Linked DNA regions of Mus musculus: region 2 is reported to be linked to region 1. Evidence: microRNA targets listed by miRTarBase, many of them from high-throughput screens and not tested one by one. Region 1 holds a microRNA gene; the other region holds the end of a gene's coding sequence.
The links. The annotated mature microRNA mmu-miR-181d-5p reads AACAUUCAUUGUUGUCGGUGGGU and lies in region 1 at 1,690-1,712, shown strand. An mRNA with a match to its seed (bases 2 to 7 or 8) in the 3' UTR can be bound and repressed. Matches are read on the target gene's strand: a 7mer-m8 pairs with bases 2 to 8, a 7mer-A1 pairs with bases 2 to 7 and ends in A, and an 8mer does both.

Region 2: miRTarBase lists Tulp3 as a target of mmu-miR-181d-5p. Seed matches in the 3' UTR shown: 7mer-m8 at 2,632-2,638.

What each region holds. Positions count from the first base shown.
Region 1 is chr8:84,177,069-84,180,470 of GRCm38, reverse strand. Mir181d (microRNA 181d) reads left to right here and starts at 1,684; the gene lies at 1,684-1,755. Mir181c (microRNA 181c) reads left to right here and starts at 1,510; the gene lies at 1,510-1,598.
Region 2 is chr6:128,320,238-128,323,639 of GRCm38, forward strand. Tulp3 (tubby-like protein 3) reads right to left here. Exons shown (of 11, transcript NM_011657.2): 11 at 924-2,975. The coding sequence ends at 2,842. Among named protein-coding and RNA genes, the nearest start is that of Tead4, 21 kb to the left of the region's middle.

The DNA.
Region 1 (3,402 bases):
AAGATGGCCCGCATTGCCCAGAGTGTCCCGTGTGCCTCATAATCCTCCATTTTAGCTTTCAGGAACCCCCTAAAACTGTTCTGAACTGGCAGCAGGCCCTTCCCCAGGGGCACAGTGGTGGTCTGTGCAAAGCGCCTGTGACCAGCTCATCTTCATCTGACCAGTCTAGACCTTTATTTCCTCAGGGCTGAGAGCTACCAAAGCAGGAGACCTGCCTTTCCCATGCAGGACCTCTTAATCCATGGCCAGAAAGAGAGGGCCCCTGGGGCTGGGAATGTGACCAGTTACCGGGCCCTGGGCTGAGGAAGCAGGGTTAGGGCTCTACCGGGAGATAGTGCTTCCTAAGTCTTGCTGGAGCCAGGGGCCAGGTTTGGGTCTGTAGGTAGGGGTGGCCCTTAAAAGGAGCTGAACTTCTAGGGAACTTCTAGGGGTGCCCTGGAACCACACTGAGGTGCTAGGCAGGGGGTAGGACCTAAGCTCTCAGGTGATTGAGTTTGGCGTTAGATCTAAAAGGGATGGTTTGTAGGAGGGCCATAGGGAACCCTGTCAAAGGCCTGAATTGGAGGGCAAGTCTGCAGTGGTGGCCTGGTACTGCACAGGCCGGTGCTAACCCTGCAGGAGTTTCACACAAGCATACTACTACATTTAGTGTTCTTGATCTGTCTTGTGTGACTTCAGGAGATCCTTGAGGGTCACCTCTCCCTCTCTGAGGTGTTCTGAGCTCAGTTAAAGCAAAAGGGAAGCCTCCCCCCCCCCCCCCGCACTCCCCCTCCCGACCATTTAGAAGCCTTTGGGTGGGGGTGGGGTGTGTCTGTGTATAGCCTTCTTTCACAGCTCACTGCTCTACTGGGTAGGGCAGTGGTGGTCTCAGAAACCGTCAAACTAAGTTTAGTGACCATGGGAAGGTGGAAAAGTTTACAATATATTGAAAGCCTTATTTATCTCAAGTTTGCTGGAGAAGCCCTGTTACATTGTATAAAAGTAACTTGTTTACGGCTCAGTTGCCCTATGCCTAGCCCAGGCCCAGACCAGAACCTGATGACCTACCCGAGTTCCCAGAATGGTGGCTAGAAAATCCCCACTTTGTATTTTGGCCTCAGTCTTTCCAACTGACCAGTGAGGGGAATTTGTATCTCTCAGAAATGCTTTGGAGGATTTTATTTATCACAGTACTTAGCCCTCATCAGGAATTCACTCTTTAGGTCAGGTTAGCCTGTAACCTTACTAAGGCCATCCCAACCCTCAGACTCCAGAGTGCTGAGATATCAGTTGTGAATGCATCCCTTGAATATATATAGCACATGAATTGAGACAGGCACATTATCATCTCTGTTGCAGGGGCTGCGTTTTTTACATTATGGTTTGTATTTGTGCTGCTTCTTCTGAGTCTCCAAAAAAGAATAACTGATGGCTGATTTTGTGAGTCAAAGGGGACCCTGGTTTCTCTCTCGTCCCACATGCTCTCTGCCTTGCTGGCCTACTCTCCCAACTCCAGTTATCCAAGAACTTGCCAAGGGTTTGGGGGAACATTCAACCTGTCGGTGAGTTTGGGCAGCTCAGACAAACCATCGACCGTTGAGTGGACCCCGAGGCCTGGAACTGCCACCCGTCTACCCCATCCCCACCCTGTAGACCCGGGAGAGCCCCAGGCAGCATCCCCTGCCTCAGGCCACAGCAAAGGTCACAATTAACATTCATTGTTGTCGGTGGGTTGTGAGGAGGCAGCCAGACCCACCGGGGGATGAATGTCACTGTGGCTGGGCCAAACAACACCATCAGGGATGGGAAAGAGGATAGAACCCTTCAGATTTTGCTTGTCACTTACTCCCCTTGGGGAAATGGGACTGGTGTCTGGGATCTTGATGGGCTGATTGGAATTGGGAAATAAACCCTGGAGGGTTAGGTGTTGGGGAGATCCTAAATTGGGAGACTCTGGGGGGATGATGTTTGCTCAGTGATGCTCTGCAGTGGGCAAACTGGTAGATGAACATGTGACAGATACATGGGCAGGTGGATGGATGAGCGGGAATGAAGTCTGTCCTAGCAGTGGTGACTCCTGTTTCTTTTTGAGCTCAGGCTGCAGGCTCCTTTGACAGGTGTCAGATAAGGGGGCTGGCACCTGCTGGGGTATGCCAGTGCAGTTTGTCTTCCTGTGCTTGAAGGCTCTTTCCCCTCCTGCTGCATTCCTAGGTTGGGGTAACCTTGAGGCTGCTTAGCTAACTGGAGGGGGAAGAGTTGGGAACTCAACTTGGTAAGGTCTTAAACCCAGGACAAATGGCTGAGGTGCCTATTCCTTTATCAAAGTTGAAGCCGCAGGCTGCCATGTTCTCGCAGCATCCCTCAGTTCCTTTAACAGGGTCCTCCTTGTTGACATATCTTGTCCTTTACCCTGAACTTCTCTAGCCAAGGAACTAGGCTGGGCTTTCCCTTCCTGCAGCTTCTCTGGTTCATATATAGGCCAACCTTTTTGGTTAGATGCTCCTTTTTTCTTTTGTCTTCTTTTTCTTTTCTTTTTTTGGTTTTTTAAGGCAGGGTTTTTCTGTGTAGCCCTGGCTGTCCTGGAACTCACTTTGTAGACCAGGCTGGCCTCGAACTCAGAAATCCGCCTGCCTCAGCCTCCCGAGTGCTGGGATTAAAGGGGTACGCCACCACGCCCGGCTTGTCTTCTTTTTCTTGTTCCCCTTTCCTTCATGCCTGGCTTAGTCTGCTGGTCATGTCCACTCTGGAGACTCCTAGGTGTCCTTGCCCCTGCCCCTGCCTGTAATTGTCCCTTTTATCTACAAAAACAAACCACTTCTCTACCCACTAGGAGCATTCTTTGTTTGGTTTAGACTGCAGGACTGAGGTGCGTATTTTACACATCAAAGCAGACCTGGCCTCCAGGTTCTCCCAGCATTCCTCAGTCCCTACCTGGCATACTCTGCCCCCAACCTTGAACTTTCTAGCCCAGGAGCTGGACTGCCCTCCCCCGCCCCCCCAGAGGCTCTTCCCTATATAATTCAGACATTTTGTTTTCTTCTTCTCTTCTGTTTTCTTCTCTCTTCTTCTCTATCGTACTTACACTCTTTTTCTCTTTTCTTCTTTCTTTACTTTAATTCACACCTCAAGACTAAGTTCTCCAGGACATGAAAGTCTGTTAGTGAAACCAGAGCTTTGAGACCCAGTTGTCATTTTCCTACCCCCAGCCCCACTTCCACACTCAGGCCTCCTTCCTAGGAATTGGGATTTCTGCATTACCCCACCTAACAAGAAACTCTTGTTTCTTGTTTCTTGCACGCCTTTAATCCCAGTACTTGGGAGGCAGAGGCAGGCGAATTTCTGAGTTCAAGGCCAGCCTGGTCTACAGAGTGAGTTCCAGGACAGCCAGGGCTACACAGAGAAACCCTGTCTCAAAAAAACAAA
Region 2 (3,402 bases), not on the chromosome of region 1:
ATTTTTTTTTTTTTTTTTTTGTCTTTATTGCTAACAGGAGTATCTTAGTCAGAGTTTCTATTCCTGCACAAACACACGACCAAGAAGCAAGTTGGGGAGGAAAGGGTTTATTCAGTTTACACTTCCATACTGCTGTTCATTACCAAGGAAGTCAGGACTGGAACTCAAGCAGGTCAGGAAGCAGGAGCTGATGCAGAGGCCATGGAGGGATATTCTTTACTGGCTTGCTTCCCCTGGCTTGTTCTTATAGAACCCAAGACTACCAGCCCAGGGATGGTACCACCCACAAGGGGCCCTTCCCCCTTGATCACTAATTGAGAAAATGCCCCACAGATGGATCTCATGGAGGCATTTCCCCAACTGAAGCTCCTTTCTCTGTGATAACTTTAGCTTGTGTCAAGTTGACACACAAAACCAGCCAGAACAAGGAGTAAAAGCTTAGAAAGGTCTGTGAGTGCAGACTTTCTCTCCACGTATCAATATCAGGTGACACAGTCCATTACATGTGCACAGAGCTCTTAGTCTCAGTGCTAGAGGCTGAGGTAGGAGGGGTGTGAGTTCAAAGGCAGCCTGGGCTGCTTTCCAGTATAGCCTTGAATAGCCACAAGATCCTAACACACACACACACACACACACACACACACACACACACAGTTTTACTGTTAGATCCAGGAGGCTGACCAGTGTCCAAGATGATTTGGCCTGGCCATCCTGGGCCCCTAGTGCAGTCTGCTGAGTTCCACAATTCATGCAGAGCTCCAAGATCGTGAGTATGACACTTTTATGCTGCCTCCTAAACTGGGTTCTTAGTCTGTGGTGCCCCCACCTCCACCCCAAAGACCCAATTCTGCTGCTACTTGGCTCAAAGAGCTTAAAGAACACAACAGGAGAAACCCAAGGGATGGTATTCTGGGAAAGCGACATCTTTATATAAATTATCTTTATTTATGTGGCATACAAAAGGTATAAATAGAATTCATGTAAAACCTGCACACTCAAGCAGAGTCCATGAAATGGGAGTATACAGCTCTCTAGGCTGGGCAGAAAGTCATAGCCCCACCCCCTTCAAGTGGAGACAGAGAGCAGTTTTCACTCAACAAAGGTGGCTCGTCTGGGAAAGCAGAGGTGTGTCAGGTTTCAGAGCACATTTATGAACAAGGCACTTGATGGGACGCCTGCCAGAGGCAGAGACAGTGACATCTGAAGGGACAGGCAAGACACTGGCCTTAGCACAGGTCTCACCTCCCAGATCTCACGCTGTAGTCGTCACACAGCTGTGAGCATGGAGCAACAGGATGCAGGGATGCAGGGACCTCCTCCATACAGGAAAAACCACGGAGCAGTTGCCAGTTTGAGAGTGGGGGACCACTGAATGTAGACCCAAAGTTTTTGAATTCTTAAGTTCAGGTACACTGTAGGCTGGGGACCTTGAGGAATTTGTCATGATTCGCTGGGAGATGTTCGAGATGTTCAAGATCTCAAAGACTCAGCATGCAGGGCAGTGTCTCCACTGGTGTGGGCCAGGTTTCGAGGCTGGAGGACAAAGCTGACAGGCAAAGCCTGTGGAGTGTCGGCGAGGTGACCTCCTCACCAAGACTCTTGCTGCCTCTAAGGAGACACTAGATTAAGATTCCAGAGAGCAAAGATTCCGAAGATCTGGCCACAGTCATGCTTCTGAGATGGCTGCCCACCAACCTACTCTGAGAATAAGCAAGAGGCAGGCTGGGGACAGCAGAGCCTTTCAGACCCACGAACAAACTAGTGTCACATGTCCCAAGATGATATATGACACTCTGCAGCCATAATCTCCATGAGGCAAAAGCTACCAAGAGTAGATTCGGCAAGAATTCCTCTTAAGAGTCTGTCTATGGCCAGGCACAGTAGTGTAAGCCTTTAATTCCAGCACTTGGGGGGCAGAGGCAGGTGGATCTCTGAGGCCAGCCTGGTCTACAGAATAAGTTCCAGGATAGCCAGGGCTACACAGAGATCCATGGGAAAAAAAAATAAAGTAAAAATAAAAATAAAATGTCAGTCTGCTGCTACTGAAAAGTAAACCACCCCCCGCCTCTCCACATCTAGCCTGGAAGATGCTCCAGCCTTGGAGGACAGGGACACAGCCAAGGCAGGCCTGCGAACCAGAGTCACAGGCCAAACTAGGCCAATGCCCACTTTGTAAATAAAGTTTTATTGGGACACAGCTACACTCTTTGTGCACCAACTAGTTATGGCTGTTTTGTGCTAAAGGACCTGACTGGGGTCAGTGCAAGAGACACTATCAGACCATTGGCTGAGGAAGGCTGCAGGCTCCTGGGCTAAAGGCATCCAAGGGAAAAGCCCCCTTTTGAAAGGGCCTTCAAAACAGGAGGCCCAAGTATTAAATCATTAGAACCTGATTCTGTTGGAAGTGCCCGAGCACATGAAAGCTACACTCACCACACAGAGTCTGTTGTGCGATCAGGAGACACCAGTGTGCCTGGGTGTCTACTTCCCTGTGCTTTAAGCCATCTCTCACACATGAGAAGTTGTAATCTATGACCAGGTCTCTGAAGTTCAGAGAAGGCATGAACGAGTACGTGGAAGCATGCATCCATGTGTGAATGTGTATGCATGTATAAACAAACACACACATGCACATTCACACACACACACACACTGGATCATTCACCAGAGGGGCAGAATGTTGCTCTTCTTGTGCTAGGGCAGGGGCAGGGGCAGGGGCAGGGGCAGGGGCAGGGGCAGGGGCAGGGGCAGGGGCAGGGGCAGGGGCAGGGGCAGGGGCAGAGGCAGCAGCTTTCTGCTCTTGAAGGCTCTGTGGTGAAGAAATCCCCTGCTTGCTGCTTCTCATTCACACGCCAGCTTGCTGTCAAAGCTGGACAGCCCGATGGCGAAGGCTTGAAGTGCGCACAGTGGGTAGTTATAGTCCAGTGTGAACACGTCATCAGCCACGCGTCCAAACTGCATGACGATGTAGTCAGCTGCAAACAGAAAGAGATGAACTCCTTAGAGCCAGTTCTCAACCTGTGGGTCGAGACGCCTTTCACGGGGCCCGCATGTCAGATATCCACGTTACGATTCGTAACAGTAGCAAAATTACAGTTATGAAGCAGCAGTGAAAATAACCGTATGGTTGGGGGTCACCACGATGTAAGGAACCGATTAAAGGATCGCAGCATTAGGGAAGCTGAAAACCACACTGTGTTGGTGGTCAATGTGGTTGTACTGGGAGGTAGGTGTGGGTAACAATAGGCAAATGGGGGAGGGGGGGACAGGGAAATGGCTCAGTGGTATAGCACCTGCCTGGGATGTGGGAAGTACTAGCCCTAGCCTCACACACAAAATCAGACAGAGAGAGAGAATCAGACAGAGAGAGAGAGAGAGAGAGAGAGAGAGAGAGAGAAGGAG